Linked DNA regions of Tamandua tetradactyla. Each later gene encodes a partner of the first gene's protein in a complex. Links are inferred from orthologs where the notes say so. Each region holds a gene or a part of one and is shown on either strand. Other genes may lie near its edges.

Region 1 (7,545 bases):
ACGGTAGCTCTCTGTAAGTTCCCAAGTAAAGGTCTGAGGACTTATCACCTGGTGTGCAGTGCTTCTTTCTTCCAAATCTCAACAGGCTCCACTGTGGAGTGGCTGGAGCAGTCCCGGCCAGGTCTCCCCCATTTCTCCTTTCAGCAAAAGGTGACACAGAGCCATAAACATAAATGAATGTACAATAGAAAGTGATGAGGCTGCAGAAAGAGAAGCAAGGCAGGGTCAGGGAGACTTGAGGGGGCTGCGGAGTCAAGTGGGGACCTCAAGGAAGGCCCTGAAGAAAGGTTTAAGCAAGTCCCTGAAACAGGACTGGGTGGGAGCAGCTTGGGGTCTAGGGACAGGGTGTCGGGCCAAGGGTACAGGCCAGCGTACCCAAGGCCGGGCCTTGCCCGGTGTGTTGGCAGCAAGAGGTGGGGGGCCACAAGGAGGGACGGTCGGGGCTGAGGGGGGCAGAGCCAGGGAGGTCTGCGGTTTGGTTGTCAAGTGCAGGTTTTCTGTTCAGCCACTGCAATGTTTGGAGCTGCTGTTTTGGGGACAGCGCTGGGGGCTGGGTGATAGTGGGAAGGGGCCACCGGCCAGATGTGGGGATAGGGACTGGGGGAACTGTAAGCTGAGGGCGACCTGGTGTCTCCTGAAGGCAGAGCCCATGGTATTTGCAGATGGATGGAGCGTGGGGTCATGCCGGGGAGAATGGAGGTGGCCCCGATGGAGATGGGATAATGGGGGGGGGGTAGGTGGGGACAGGGGTCTTGGGCAGTGGAATTTGAGGCTCCGTGGGACTTTGAGGGGAGGTGGAAGGAGGGAGGAGGATCTGTGGAGTTCACGGTGAAGATCATGGTGGCAACTGTCCTGAAGAGGACCCCTAGGGATTTCTGGAGATATCTGTGGGTGTCACGACTGGGGAGGGGGTGCCCAGAGACCCTGATAAGCACCCCCAATGCCCAGGATGCCCCAACATTAGCTGTGCCTTTGGCGACAGATCCTGGCCTGGCACCGGGAGCGGGGGCGGCAGAAGGCAGAGGGGCTGGCCAGACCCTGGGGCAGCTGCCTGCGCTCCAGCCCTAGCTGTGTGACTTCTTAACCTCTCTAGTGCCTGGGTGCTCCCGCCAGACAAAATAGGGACTGGACCAACACCTGCTTCCTTGGAGAGCCGGCCAATAACTGCGCTCAGTGCCCAGGACGCAGGCATGGCCGAGAGCTTCCTAAGTAGGATAAAGGTGGAGGGGAAGGAGGAGGCTGCCAGGTGTCCCAGAAAGCAGGGGAGGAGGGGGCGGCCACCAAGTCGAGACTTGCTTTGTGTCTTTGACCAGGCAGCTGCAGGGAGGGGCTGGGGCAGGTGTGCAGGGGTGAAGGGACTGGAGCTGCAGACAGAGCTGCTGGCAATGGGAGAAAGGGCACTCAGGAATGAGGGTAAATGCAGGTGACAAAGGCTAAGCCCAAGAAGCAGTGGCCTTGGCTAGAGAGTGCATGTTCCAGGTGGCCTCGGGGTTCCTTGGGGAAGCCAGGGGAGGGAAGGGGTGGAGACGGAGGAGGGGGGGCAAGCGGGCTCCTCAGAGGGTTGCACCCTGTGAGGCCCAGCAATCCCCGAGATAAATTAAAACCCATGTCCACGCACAGACTCGTGTTCACAGCAGGATGTCATGGCGGAAAAAGTGGAAACAACCCAATATCCACCAGCAGATGGACAAAATATGACTGATCCCTACAATGGGCTATTATTCGGCCATAAAAAGGACAAGTATCACCTTTTGTTCCCACTTGGACTCTGAAGACATTCTGCAGAGTGAAAGAAGCAAAGAACAAAGCACAAAGCTCGTCTGATTCCAACTGATAAGGAACGTCCTGGCCAGGCAAACCCACACGGACAGAAAGGAGATTTGAGGTCACTGGGGTCTGGAGTGGGGCTGGGGAGTGGCAGCCGACAGGCATGGGGTCCCCTTTTTCGGGTGATGAGAATGATCTGGAGCCAGACAGTGGTGAAGGTTGCACAACATTGTGAATATACTAAAATCCACAGAACTGGACATGTTATACGTAGTTAAAATGGCGAATTTTATTTCAAAACGAGAGGATTACAAAAAAACTAGGTCATAGGACAGGCCCTGTAGACTGGTGGCAACTCAGGACAGACCTCGACCCTCTGGCCAGAGTACAGCTGGGCTCCAACCCCTCCCACCCCCACCCCACAGCTTCCACCTCGCCCAGGCCCCTTGGGGAGGTGATGGCCTGCGGCCAGGGCTGGGTGCAGCGGTCTTTCTATCTTTCCTCTCTCCGCCCCTGGCTCTAGGAGGGCGGCGCCCTGTGTTTTTGACAACACTGAAAAAAAAATCAGCCTTTCGGGGAAGGTGTTTACAGATCCAAGCAAAACTGAGAACATCTGAGCCTTAGGGCAAGCCCAGTGTGGTCAGGGCACTGGGCACTTCCGAGGGCGGCGAGGACTGGGTGGGAGTTCCTAGGAAGTGAGGGGGGCCCCACGGAGCCCACGGCCACCATGCCAAGAGACTCAGAGAAGCAGGCCCCTACTGACCCCGCGGAGGAGGGCTGTGTTGAGAAATGGACCTTATGAGGTTCCACATTAGCGGGTGACCTGGTGACCCTCCCTTCTTTGCCTCTGCCACCAGACGGCAGAAAGCAGAAACTCTCCCAAGGGCCAGTCCCGTGACGCGGGGAGGGGAGTTGGGGGTGCTGCATAACTCACGGGACCCAAAAGGTGGTGGGTCTGCCGTGCCCCTGTGGTCCAACGGCCGGGCCTTGTTTGGACGCGCTAAAAGGAAGTTGCCCCGTGTTGGAAATATACGCAAACCACGTGGGGGATGGGAAGTCACATGCCTGGAGAACTCCGGCGTGTTTTTTTCTGGGCGCACACCTGCGTGACCGTGAGAGTATTCCCGGGAATTTGGGCGCGCTTCCTGGCGGTTTGGACGACCTTTCCCACCCCCCACCCCGTGCCCTCGGGGAGAGTGGGAGGCATTCTCTCCCTCCCGCCGCTCGCACAACCGCCCGCAATCCCGACGCGCGGCGGCGTGAACTCAACCACCCACCCAGGAGAGCATGCGCAGTGGCTACCGACAACAGAGCCGCAGACCGCCCCCGCCCCACCATTGGTCACCAGTTGCACGCATCCATGGCCCGCCAATGAGGGCGTAGGTGGGCGTGGCCGAAGGCGGGAAGGTGCGGGGCGCCGGCGCGTGGCCATTGGTCGGTCGGTCAAAGGGAGGAGCCGCCGCGCTCCGCGCCCCCACCGCCGCGATGAGCCTTAGCCGCCTGTGCCGTCTGCTTAAACCCGCGCTGCTGTGCGGGGCGCTGGCAGTTCCCGGCCTGGCCGGCACCATGGTGAGCAGGCACGCAGGGCCGGAGCCGGGAGCCGTTGGGCCGCTCGCGGGAGCCCGGGAGCCGGGGGTGCGGCGTCCCCCCGGGGGGGGGCTCCTGTCCGTTTCTCCCCTCCCACCAGCCCCGGGCCGGGGGCGCAGCGGGGGACCGTACCCATTCACTTTGTACGCGGCCGCCGGGCCTGTCTGGGGCGTTGGGCAGGTAGCCAGTGCGGGATCGGGGGTGGGGGAGGCCGGCTGGGGATGGGAAGGCACGGGTGCGGTGGGAGGGTCAGGTTCGTTTCCCTGGGCTTCGGGGATGGGCTGTGGGCTGGACACAGTGTCCCAGGGCTGGGTGGGAGTGTTGGCGTCGGTGTCCGGAAGCCTGGGGGGGTGTAGGCGGCTAGCGGGATCGGCTGGGCGGCCAGTCCTCTGCGCACCCGGGCTTTGGCCTCGAGGGCGGGGCCATCGAGCAGGGAAACTCGGGTCACGCGCCGCGTCTCAGCGCCCCTCCCCCCGGGGCCCAGGGCGACAACGTCACAGAGCGCTGGCCCCGGGCGCCCTGGCTACGGGCCCTTTTCCCGCCCCCCGCACAGCGCGCTGGGGCACAGGCGGGCGGAGAGGGGCGGGCATGGGCCGCGCAGCTGCCCGCTCCCGGGGCCGCCGCGGGAAGCGGTGCAGCCGCCGGGGCAGGTCGTTGGGCAGAGGCCCCAGGCGACAGCCCCGCAGGCGGAAGGCCGGCAGGCGGAAGACCCGGGCCTGTCGGCGCCGGAGACCGCGCCCCCGGAGGAAGAGATCCCCCTGCGAGAGCCCGGGACCGGCGGCGCCTGCCGGGATCCCGGAGCCTTGCGTGATTCCGGAGCCTTGCAGGGTCACGGACCCTCTTGCGGCCCCAGTTAATTCTGTAAAATGGACCCCGCTCCGCGGGCGGGGAGGGGGCGTGGCCGTTGGGGGCGGCACTTTCCTCTAGTCCTGGGCCGTGGCTTCCTTGGGGCGCGAAGGGCCGTTCTCTGGAGGTGCGCGGTGGGGTAGCTGCCCCGCGCCTGGCCCCCAGCGTGTCTTTGCCTCGCAGTGCGCGTCCCGGGACGACTGGCGCTGTGCCCGCTCCATGCATGAGTTCTCCGCCAAGGACATCGATGGGCACATGGTGTGCTTGGACAAGTACCGGTGCGTGCTTGCCGGCCAGCCCAGGGAGGGAAACGGGGCACCCCGAAGGGTAGCACCAGCGCCCCCTGACCACGCTTCCCTCGTCTCCAGGGGCTGCGTGTGCATCGTCACCAATGTGGCCTCTCAATGAGGCAAGACAGACGTAAACTACACTCAGCTCGTCGACCTGCACGCCCGATATGCTGAGTGTGGTTTACGTATCCTGGCCTTCCCCTGCAACCAGTTTGGGAAGCAGGTGCGTGGTCCCTGAGGACAGGACAGGAGGGGGAGGGCAACTGGGAGTGGGTAGAAGGTTTGGGACCCAGGTGCGGGTCAGGACTCAGGACAGCAGGACGATGGTGTGGGAGGGGTGGGGCAGGCCCTTGCCCCACTCCCAGTGCCCTGGCTGTCTGCAGGAGCCAGGAAGCAATGCGGAGATCAAAGAGTTTGCAGCCGGCTACAACGTCAAGTTCGATATGTTCAGCAAGATCTGCGTGAACGGGGACGATGCCCACCCGCTATGGAAGTGGATGAAAATCCAGCCAAAGGGGAGGGGCATCCTGGGAAAGTAAGTGCTCCCCACCCAGCTGCGGGGGTGGGGGTGGGGGGCTGAACCCCTCTAGGGAGCCCTCCTGACCTTGGGCCTCTTTTCTGCAGCGCCATAAAATGGAACTTCACTAAGGTAAGGAGGTCACCAGCTGGAAGAGGAGACTCCCACTTCTGCCCTCTACTTTCCCTTCTAATCCCCCCAATCCAGCCCAACTCCCCTGGGCTATCAGCCACAGCCTTCGTGCCTCACCCCCACTGGCCCATGGCCCCACCTTGGCACAAATAGGACAGCAGGTAGTGAGGGGCCTCGCAGGCAGGAATCTGCATCCCTGACTACCCCTCACAGTTCCTCATTGACAAGAATGGCTGTGTGGTGAAGCGATATGGTCCCATGGAAGAGCCCCTGGTAGGTGCCGTTTGAGGGAGCCGGGGGTGGGTAGGAGTGCTCCATCAGCTGTCCTGATCTCCCTCTTCTCCCACAGGTGATAGAGAAGGACCTGCCCTGTTATCTCTAGTTCTACAAGTGTGTGCCATCTTCGTGTCCCCCACCCGTGCCCCTGCCTGCAGTCCTGGAGCCTTCCACCCAGCACCCATGATGGCCTGCCTGCAAACCAGCCCACTGGTGGGGCAGACCTGAGAACCTGGCGTGCAACCTCTGCTGGAGGAAGGACCCGGCTGCCGGCGTGGCAGGGTGCCCCCACCCCTGGCTGCCTTGTGGGAATAAAATTTACAAACAGGCCTGCTTGGACCTCCTGCATCCACAGGGGGAGCCCCATGGCCATTCCTGCTGGGGCAGCTCGAATTGGGATTTCTGCAGCTCAGTCCTGGGTTGACATCAGGGCATGGCCAGTTCCTGGAAATTCCTCCCAACGGGCTGCTTGTCCAGGCACGAGGCCTTAACCCATTAGATGGCCAAGCTGGTCTAGGCAGTGAGCCAGGCTGCTCTACTTGCCAATCTCGTGGTGTAGGCATTAGCCCAGGGTACCCATGCCTACCCTCTGGGCTCCATCTAGTCCCATCCAGGGGAAAGTGAACTGTTGTAAAGGTACAGCTATCTCTGGGTCCCTCTTAGGAGGGGTAGGGATGGCCTGGGACCTGAAGAGCTGGCAGTCATGTTGAGGATCTGCCCTTGGGGGCTGTACAGAGTCCCCAAGAGGTGGTCTGTGCCTAAAGGAGGAGCTAAGGAAGAGGGTCCCAGGCAGAACTCCCTAGCCTGGATGCTGCTGGGGCACAGTACCTGAAGCCAAGGTGAATGGGCCCTGACACAGGCTGGCCAGTAGCAGCTGCCTTAAGAACTGGTACCACAACCACAGTAAACAATGGTCCCTCAGGTAGGCGTGAGCCAGGGGGTGTGATGTAGGCCAGGTCAAGGTGGGCTGGTTTCACCCCTAGGGGAGCCCATAACTCTCAGCCGCATTTCTAGGTGGGCCTTGTTCTAGCTGTGCTGGTCCCTGTCTTGCTTTGGAGCAAATACAAACCAGCAGGCAGGACGAGCAGACTTTGGGAAGTAGTCAAAAGGCACATATATTTAAAAAAAAGATCTGTTTACATATATACACAAGTTATAAATACACGTAGAAACCAGAGGACTGCTCCCTGCTGCCCCAGGTGGACTCCCAGGGTCCTGGGGCAGTGGCCGAGCAATAATTTAGGGAGCAAGGGAAGGAAGATGGAGGGTTGCATATATTAATGGGGAGGGGGGCTGCCCCATGAGCCACGCCAAGGCTGGGGGGATGGCTCTGAGCACCTGGGGTTTCCTGAGTTTCCAGCTCTTGGGACCACCCAGTTTCACGAAATTTGAGGCAGGGACCTCCAAAGGTGGGAGGAGGAGCAGAGCTAGGGGCTCTTGATCCTAAAGCAGCCTGCTCAGACCCCCTGTCCGAGGCCTGGGAGGATGGAGAGGCCAGAGGCACAGAGGTTGTGGACCCCTCAGCCCCTGCACCCCAAGTCGTGAGCTGGGCAGTGTCCCTACCAGGTGAGGCCTTGAGGGGTACTCCCCCCTGCAGGACCAGCCAGCGTCTGGGGGGCTGCTCAGGCACTGGACCCTGAGAACCCGGAGGATCAGGGCTTCTGGGAAGGCACTGCAGTGGCCGGCTGCCGGGGGGCTGGATGAGGGCACCGGACCTTTCCATCAGCGGCAGGCAGGGGAACTTAGCCCTGCCCACCACCTACAGAGGTGAACCATGATCCCTAAAGAAGTCCTGCTTGCCTGGGGCCTAGGAGTTGGCAAAGGGGGGGCTAAACTGGATGACACTCTGCCGCCCTGCCACCCCCGCACCCCCTAGTGGCCCTCCACCACCCCCCAGTGGCCCCGGCTGGGCAGTGGGGGGTGCTGCATGCAGAGAGCGCAGCATGTCCTCCAGCACCTCCTTGAAGTTAATGTCGCAGCCTTGCTGCAGGAGGTCAGTGGGGTCGGCCCGCACAGCGGGGGCCAGGGCACTGGGGGCGCCAAGCAGCAGGGAGCCGGGGGCTGCGGGCTCCAGGCCCAGCGGCGGGAAGGTGAAGTGCGCAGCGGGCGCCAGGGCCTCGGCTGGCGGGC
Region 2 (7,889 bases), on another chromosome or scaffold:
TGTGATCAGTGGCGCCAGTGACCTGGGCTGGGGGTGGGTGGGTTGACCCGCTCCACTGTGGTTCTCCAGCTTGGTCTGTTTGGCAGAGGCCACTCTTACTGACCATCCTGGAGAGGGTCCTTTCCTTAGGCTGGGCAGAAATGCTCGTGTCATGGGGAAGCACATGATGATCTCCTTCTGACCATCACTTGTTCAGACGGTATTCAGGAATCTTTGCAGCCCTTTTGAGCATTTTCTTTGTGTGTGTCTTTGCATCTTGCCCAGTGGGTCACTATCTTTAAAGGTAGGGAGGGATAAGCCTATCCAGGAATAGGTTGTTAATCACTAATACAATGTTAGCCAGCATTTATCAATGCTAGTTTCAGTCTTTTAAAATTGGCTATACCATCTTGGATAACCGAGATGACAACTGCAAATCTGTGATCTTAGGAGCCACTGAAAACATGTCTAAACCCAAAATTCCACTTACGTAATATAACAGACATCAGCTCTGGATCTTACTGCACTTAACTCCAACAGGCATGATAAAGTTACGGAAGACCGGCCTCCTTGATTTCCAGCCGTTGGAGGCAGGCTCTGGGGAGGGGCCTTCACACTAGGTGGGAGGAAAGGGTGTGGGGGCGCCTGCCAAGGGGTCAGCTTTGGAACAGGCTTCATGGACTCATAAGGCAACAGAAAAGCCACAAACCACCTTCAAGAGCCCAATAACTTCCAAAGAATCGTCCCTTCTTTGCCTACCTCTGAAATCAGGAAACAGTCTAAACAGTTCTCACTGCTGTGAGTAACGAGATTAACTGAGACGCTTCTGTGACTCCACTGGTGGGTCTGGAATGGGAGTTTCCAAGTCCAAGTGGGGTTTGTTTCCGTCACTCCCCACTGTACTCCTACCTGAGGCTGTTTCATTCCGCTTCACAGTTGTAGACACGTTCTGTTAACTTTAAATTGTGCATTTAAAATTCATTCTCAGATGTATTTTAAATTGGTTCTTAGAAACCTATGTCTTATGAAAATGAAAATATCAATTAATAATGGAAATAAGTATTTTATCAGTTGACTAGAACTATAGAATTGTTCCAAAATGATCAAAGCCACCAAAATAATCACCGAATATACACATCCAGTGTGAATGTGTTCAGGTACTTGACAGGATTTAAAAATATTTATTTTTATTCATAAATCTGAACATAGAAACATCCCACACATCATCACATAATTGTGTATTCATCACCATGATCCTTTTCAGAACACCTGCTCCAGAAAAACAAATAAAAAAATCCATCCATACATACTCATTGCCTCTCCCTCTCACTGACCACTAGTACTTCAATCTACCCAATTTATTTTAACCTTTGCCCCCCCCCATTATTTGTTCATTCTCCATCCGTACCCTGGATAAAGGGAGCATCAGCTGCAAGGTTTTCACAATCACACAGTCACATTGTAAAACTAAATCTTTATACAGTTGTCTTCAAGAACCAAATCTACTGGAACACAGCTCTACAGTTTCAGGTGCTTCCCTCCAGCCTCTCCAATACATAAACTAAAAAGGGATATCTATATAATGCGTAAGAATAACCTCCAGGATAACCTCTCGACTCATTTTGAAATCTCTCAGCCACTGAAACTTTGTCTCATTTCTCTCTTCCCCCTTGTGGTCAAGAAGGCTTTCTCAATTCCTGATGCTGGGCCTCAGCTCATCCCGGGGTTTTGGTCTCACGTTGCCAGGGAGATGTACACCCCTGGGAGTCGTGTCCCACGTGGGGGGTGGGGGGTGGGGGAGGGCTGTGAGTTCACGTGCCGTGTCGGCTTAGAGAGAGGCCACATCGCAGCAACAAAAGAGGTTCTCTGGGGGTGACTCTTAGGACCAATTTTAAGTAGGCTTAGCCTATCTTTTGCAGGGATAGTTCCACAGGAGCAAACCCCAAGATCAAGGGCTTGGCCTATTGAATTGGTTGTCTCCACTGCTTTCAGGAATATGTGAAATTCTCCGATTGGGGAAGTTGAATATTTCCTCCTCTTCCCAGTGCCCAAAGGGAATTTTGCAAGTGCTTCTTTATTCACTGCCCAGATCACTCTGGGATATATCGGGGCATCACACTAACCTCGACAACCAACAAAATCTCATACCCTATTCAAGATTCCATGTACTTTTAGTGTTCAACTAAACTGACCCCACAAGTTAAATTAGGAAATGCACTACCCAAAATATGTTTTGCACCCAAAAAAAATCCCTCTCTTTGGTCTCACAGAGAAGCTGAACTTTCAAAATATGAATAATATCATCCTTTACTCTGTATTCTGATTTACCTTAGTCCCATCCAGATCAGCTTCATTCATCGATTCTTCCTTCATAGGACTTTTGTGACTAGGAGCAGTACGTGATTATCTGATATGAATCCTAGTCACTCAGTAATAGCTAAAAGTGAGAAACAAAGCTTTTACCCCAGCAGTCTCTGATGGAAAAAGATGCCAAGTATACATTCTAACTAGTAGGGAATTTCATTCTGTGTCCCCTCCTTGGGTCACAAACATGGCCTTGGGACCAGAAAGTAAGTTCTCAAGAAACAAAAGGATGGGCACATCTCAAAGGTCACAGGAGTCACCTGAGACAGTTCCCAAAGGCCAAAGCGGGAACAATCTGAGCCCCCCAAAAAAAGACGTAGTATGAAAATATAACCCAAAGAACAAACATGAAATGATACTGATATAGATGACTGAATAATAAATAAGGGGAGAGGAGACACGTAGTCACGTGTGTAGATATGAACCGTCTACAGGACACAGAAGTCAATTCCCACCTCAGCCCTGAAGAAGGGGCTGGGCCTAGTGACCGGCCTCTGAAGAACAGAGGACGGAGAGGGAAGCACACTACCTCAAAGCCAAAGAGACCAGGCAGACACGACCTCGACCCAGTGCTGAAGGTCAGCCTCACCAGGGACGGGGCTTCCATGCACCCCTGTGTGCCCAAGACCTCCCCTCCAGCATCCTCCCAGCCACGCCCTGGGGTCACCCAGGGAAGACAACAAAGAAACCCAAACTGGGATACAATGCCCAAGACACCTGGACAGTCGCCACAGCACTGCCAAGGTCGTGAAAATCAAGGAAAAACTAAAACGCTATCACAGATCAGAGGGGACAGGGGCAACAGGACAACCAAATGCAATGTAACACCTTGGATTGGGTCCTGGGACAGAAAGAGGACATTAATGGGGAAAAAAATTAGAAATTCAAATAAAATATGGAATTTGGTTAAAAGCAATGCATCAATGTCTCTTTCTTAGTTTTGACAAATAGACTATGGTCCCACAACAAAGAATTATCGAGCTCAAAATGTCGATAGTGGCGGATGCCTGGGTGGTTCAGTGGTAGAATGCGCGCCTTCCACGAGGGAGACCCGGGTTTGATTCCCGGGCCATGCACCACCCCCACCCCCAAAACGTCAGTAACCCCAACACTGGAAAACTCCTGGACTGAGATGACAGCAGTAGAGGTGTCAGAATCAGCCAAGGTCAGGCCATGTTTGGGAGATACAGCCCACAAGATGTGATGCTATTCCAAAAGTAGGGGAGGGAGGGAGGGAGGGAGGGAGAGAGAGAGAGAGAGAGGGAGGGAGGGAGGGAGAGAGGGAGAGAGAGAGAGAGAGAGGGAGGGAGAGAGAGAGAGGGAGAGGGAGAGAGAGAGGGAGGGAGAGAGAGAGAGAGGGAGAGAGGGAGAGAGAGAGAGGGAGAGAGAGAGGGAGGGAGAGAGCCAGCACTGCTTCAGACATCTAAAGTGTGAGGTGGCCATTGATCCCCAGGGACGGTGTTAGGTGGAGAGCTGGGTATAGACGGATGGGGTGGTGGATAGATGGATGGATGGTAGAAGGATGGATGGATGATGGATGGGTGGGTGAGGGAGGGATGATGGATGGACGGATGGATGATTGATAGATGGATGGATGATGGACGGATGATTGATGGGTGGATCATGGACGGATGGATGATTGATAGATGGATGGATGATGGACGGATGATTGATGGGTGGATGAGGGATGGGTGGATCATGGACGGATGGATGATTGATAGATGGATGGATGATGGACAGATGATGATAGATGGATGGTAGAAGGATGGATGGATGATGGATGGGTGGGTGAGGGAGGGATGATGGATGGACGGATGGATGATTGATAGATGGATGGATGATGGACGGATGATTGATGGGTGGATGAGGGATGGGTGGATCATGGACGGATGGATGACTGATAGATGGATGGATGATGGACAGATGATGATAGATGGATGGTAGAAGGATGGATGGAAGATGGATGGGTGGATGATGGACGGATGATGGACGGATGACGGACGGACAGTCCAAGCAGGGAGAGGCTGGAGAAGAGACCTGGCCAGCCCTGAGCCCTGGGGCGCTGTAGCGTCCAGAGGCGGGAGGCGGGAGAACTCTGGGGACGGAATACGCTGCCTTGTAAGAAGCGAAGGGAGCTGCACCCGGCGGAGGACCCGCCCACGGAGCCAAGCGCAGCGAGGGGCCGGGGAGGTTCCGATGACCCGCCGCGCGGGGACGCAGCGCGCCAGGCGAGCGCGGGGGCGGCGGCGGCGAGCCGGGCGGCGCTCGGTCCTCGGCCTGGGCTGGGCTGGGGGCCGCGGGCAGGGCCGGAAGCGCGCAGTCGGTGCGCCGCCCGCCGAGCACGCCGCAGACGGCGGCCCCTCCGCGGGGGCGGGCAGGGGGCGCCGCGCACCTTCGCCTCGGCGCCGCGCAGCTTGACCCGGGCCCTTCCTTTCGGGGCTCGGCTTCCTAGTCGGCCAGGGAAACGCGAGGGACAGCAGGGCGGGCGGAGCGGGCGCGACGCACTTCCGGCGCGCGGCCCGAGGCCCTTCCGGCGCGCATGCCGCCCCGAGGTTCGGCCGCAGGCGTGCGATGGGTCCCGGCGGCTCGGGGCGCGGAGTCCCCGGGCCCAGCCTGAGGCACCTGACCGACCCCGCCTACGGGGCCCCGCGCGAACAGCAGGAGCCCGCCTTGCAGGAGCTGACGCGGGCGCACGTGGAGTCCTTCAACTACGCGGTGCACGAGGGGCTGGGCCGCGCGGTGCAGGTGAGGGCGGCGCCCCGCTGCTCGAGGCGGGCGGGGAGAGGCCGGGCGCGCCCAGCACGGCCGCCGGGGCTCGGGCTCCGTCGTGTTTCGAGGCGCCGTGCATGCGCCGGGAGCGGACTGGCGGAGGAGCGGGTGCGAGGGGCGGCCTTTGGCCCCTGGAGACCTGTCCGGTTGCGAACGGGGAGTTGGGCTTGTGGTTTTCTGGGTTTGTGGGTGACTGCGAACTGTGCGGATTCTGGGTCCTGAGGCCGGGAGGAGGCCACGCGCTGTCGCTGTGCTTCCCGACCGTTCACGCCGTGCGGACTTCTATACCGCGGGACCGCTTTCCTCGAAAGGTGTTGAGCCTGTTCCTGCGTGGGCTGTGAAGTGCTGGGTCCTCTCTCAGCTTTCTTTCTTTTTCCCCGCTTAGCGCTTTAGAGAAGAAAACCACGCTCTGAATGAGTCAGGTGTCGAGGAAAACGTGAGTGAGCTGTAGAGGCAGGGTTTCTTGTGGCACTCCCGGGAAAGTAGGACGTCCTCTGCAGTAGAAAAGGTGTCAGGCATCTTACTCGCCTGTGCTCAGCCCTAAGTGGTCGAGAAGGTGGTGGGGAAAGGTCTCGCCTGATGATCGCGCCTGGCTGTGAGGGGAACGGGGACGCAGAGCTTGCTTTTGAGTGTCGGTTTCACGGGGGGCCGGGTGGGGGTCTGAGACAGGGATTCTCCTGAGAACTGCTCGGCCCAGGTTGAGTAGCTGCTGTCGGTGCATATAGGAAATGCAGCCAGGTGTATGAGAAAGGTCCAGATTCGGGGAGTCGAAGGGAAGAGGAGAGTTCATTCCCTCCAGTGAAAGTGAAGGAGCAGAACCGCATTCTCAGGGAACGCTCTGCGGCCTGACGTTTCTGTTGAGTAGAATTTGTGTTTTCAGTAAGAATTGAGATAACATGAAGGACTTTGGTTGTCAGACTCGGGTACTTGCATTCTTTTCTGCAGGTAATGTGGGGGCCGTTGCAGTTTATGTTCCAAAGCAATTGGCTGTAGCCGGTTTTTTTAGATGTGTTATCACCTTGGCACTATAAGCATCAGTGCATGTAGAACACATGGGGTCTCAGAGTCTTTGAGAAAAAGTGCCCTGGAAGTGCAGTCATTTAACAGTGTGAATTGTATTTCAGGCTATACCTCCCTTCGAATTTGCTTTCCAAGATGAGCGCCTCTCTCTTACTATTGTGGATGCTGCCATCAGCCCACCCACAGTTCCAAAAGGGAGCATCTGTAAAGAGCTTAAGGTTTACCCAGCAGAATGCCGAGGCCGAAGGAGTACCTACCGGGGGAGATTGACAGTGAGTACACATGACATCGTGGCTCTGACACTTCACAACTCTGGTTAAGGGTGTATCTTATGAGTTTATACCGGAATGCTTTCTTAGTACAGTGATCTAGGAGAACCCGTCTTTTAAATCTAAATCATAAAATAATTTGTGGTCTTTTTCCTCACTGTTTTGAAATTCTCATTTTTTCTCGAAGATCCAGATAATTTTTCTTTTTTATTAAGTAATTTTTTTCTCATTTTTATTTAGGCTGATATCAGTTGGGCAGTGAATGGAATCTCAAAAGGAGTTATTAAACAGTTTCTTGGCTATGTTCCCATTATGGTGAAATCTAAGCTTTGCAACTTACACGGCCTTCCTCCAAAAGCCCTCATCGAGCACCATGAGGAAGCAGAGGTGATTGCTGGGACCCGGTGCCCTGAAAGGTCCTGTGGTAGGAGGGAGCAGGTTTGGGAGTGAGAAACCCTGAGGCTTCTTGGGAGTCAGTTTTTCTTTCTCTGCTCCCATTTCTCGGTACATAAAATGGGACGTGATGTCTTGTCTCCATCCTGCATAGGGCTTAGGATGTGACAGTTCAGATGAGTCGGTATATGAAAGTGTCGCTGTGCTATCCAGGAGTGTTTTTGCTGTGGCAGAAGAATTTGCAGATTTTCCTCTATTTTCTGAACGATGCAAATTTAAAGACATAATTCCAGGAAATTTGTCTGCTTTTTAACTTTTTATTTTGAAATAATTTCAAACTTAAGCCAAGTTGTAAAAATAATACAAAACCAATAGAGAACTCCCAAATACCCCCTACCCAGAATTATGATCTTTTAACATTTTATCACATTTTTTATCTCATTCTGTCTCAATCTGTTTTTCTAAACATTGGGCATAGGTTACATATATCATGTTCCTTTAACATTAATGCTTCCATGTATATTTCTTGAGAACAGCAATACTCGTTTATGTAACCACATTTAAATTCAGTTATCAAGTCCAAGAAATTTAATGTTGATAGTAAAGCGTACACTCTATATTCCAGCTTTTTCACTTGTCCCAATATTGTCCTTTTGGGCATTTTCTCCTCCGTTATTAGAGCCAGTCCAGGATCATGTCAATTGTTGTTGTCTCTTTTAAAAATTGTGATTTTACAGATTTCCCTTCTCAGCCACTCCCGAATTTCCAGTTCATTGGGGTTGGTTACATGCATATGTCTTGCTACCCTCACCACCCTCAATTACCACAACATCCTATCATCCCAAACTGAAAGACCATGCTCTGAACGCATTATGCATTATTGGGTTGATAGACACTTCCATCTTTTAGCACTTGTGAATAATACTGCTTCCATCTTGTAGCACTTGTGGATAATGGCGCTATGAACACGGTGTACAAATATCTGTCGAGTTCCTGCTTCCAGTTCTTTTGAGTATATATACCAAGTAGTGGGATTGGGAAAGTAACCTGATTTCCTTCCATATTCCCTCCCATGTCCCTGGAATCTTTTTCCAG

The links. The genes of interacting proteins can lie anywhere in the genome.
Region 2: POLR2E (region 1) and POLR1B share a complex: the UniProt entries of both Homo sapiens proteins name them as parts of the pol I pre-initiation complex. The link is inferred for Tamandua tetradactyla from reciprocal best matches to the Homo sapiens genes POLR2E and POLR1B.

The regions. Positions count from the first base shown.
Region 1 is NC_135337.1:81,867,250-81,874,794, reverse strand, and holds the start of POLR2E (DNA-directed RNA polymerases I, II, and III subunit RPABC1), read right to left. Parts: upstream 3,008-7,545; 5' UTR 2,833-3,007; intron 201-2,832; exon of another isoform or gene 138-200; 5' UTR 1-137. Other genes in the region: SBNO2 (protein strawberry notch homolog 2), read right to left, coding at 7,223-7,545. UniProt on the Homo sapiens protein: DNA-dependent RNA polymerase catalyzes the transcription of DNA into RNA using the four ribonucleoside triphosphates as substrates.
Region 2 is NC_135343.1:496,708-504,596, reverse strand, and holds the start of POLR1B (DNA-directed RNA polymerase I subunit RPA2), read left to right. Parts: upstream 1-4,887; 5' UTR 4,888-4,914; coding exon 4,915-5,088; intron 5,089-6,236; coding exon 6,237-6,404; intron 6,405-6,641; coding exon 6,642-6,788; intron 6,789-7,889. UniProt on the Homo sapiens protein: Catalytic core component of RNA polymerase I (Pol I), a DNA-dependent RNA polymerase which synthesizes ribosomal RNA precursors using the four ribonucleoside triphosphates as substrates.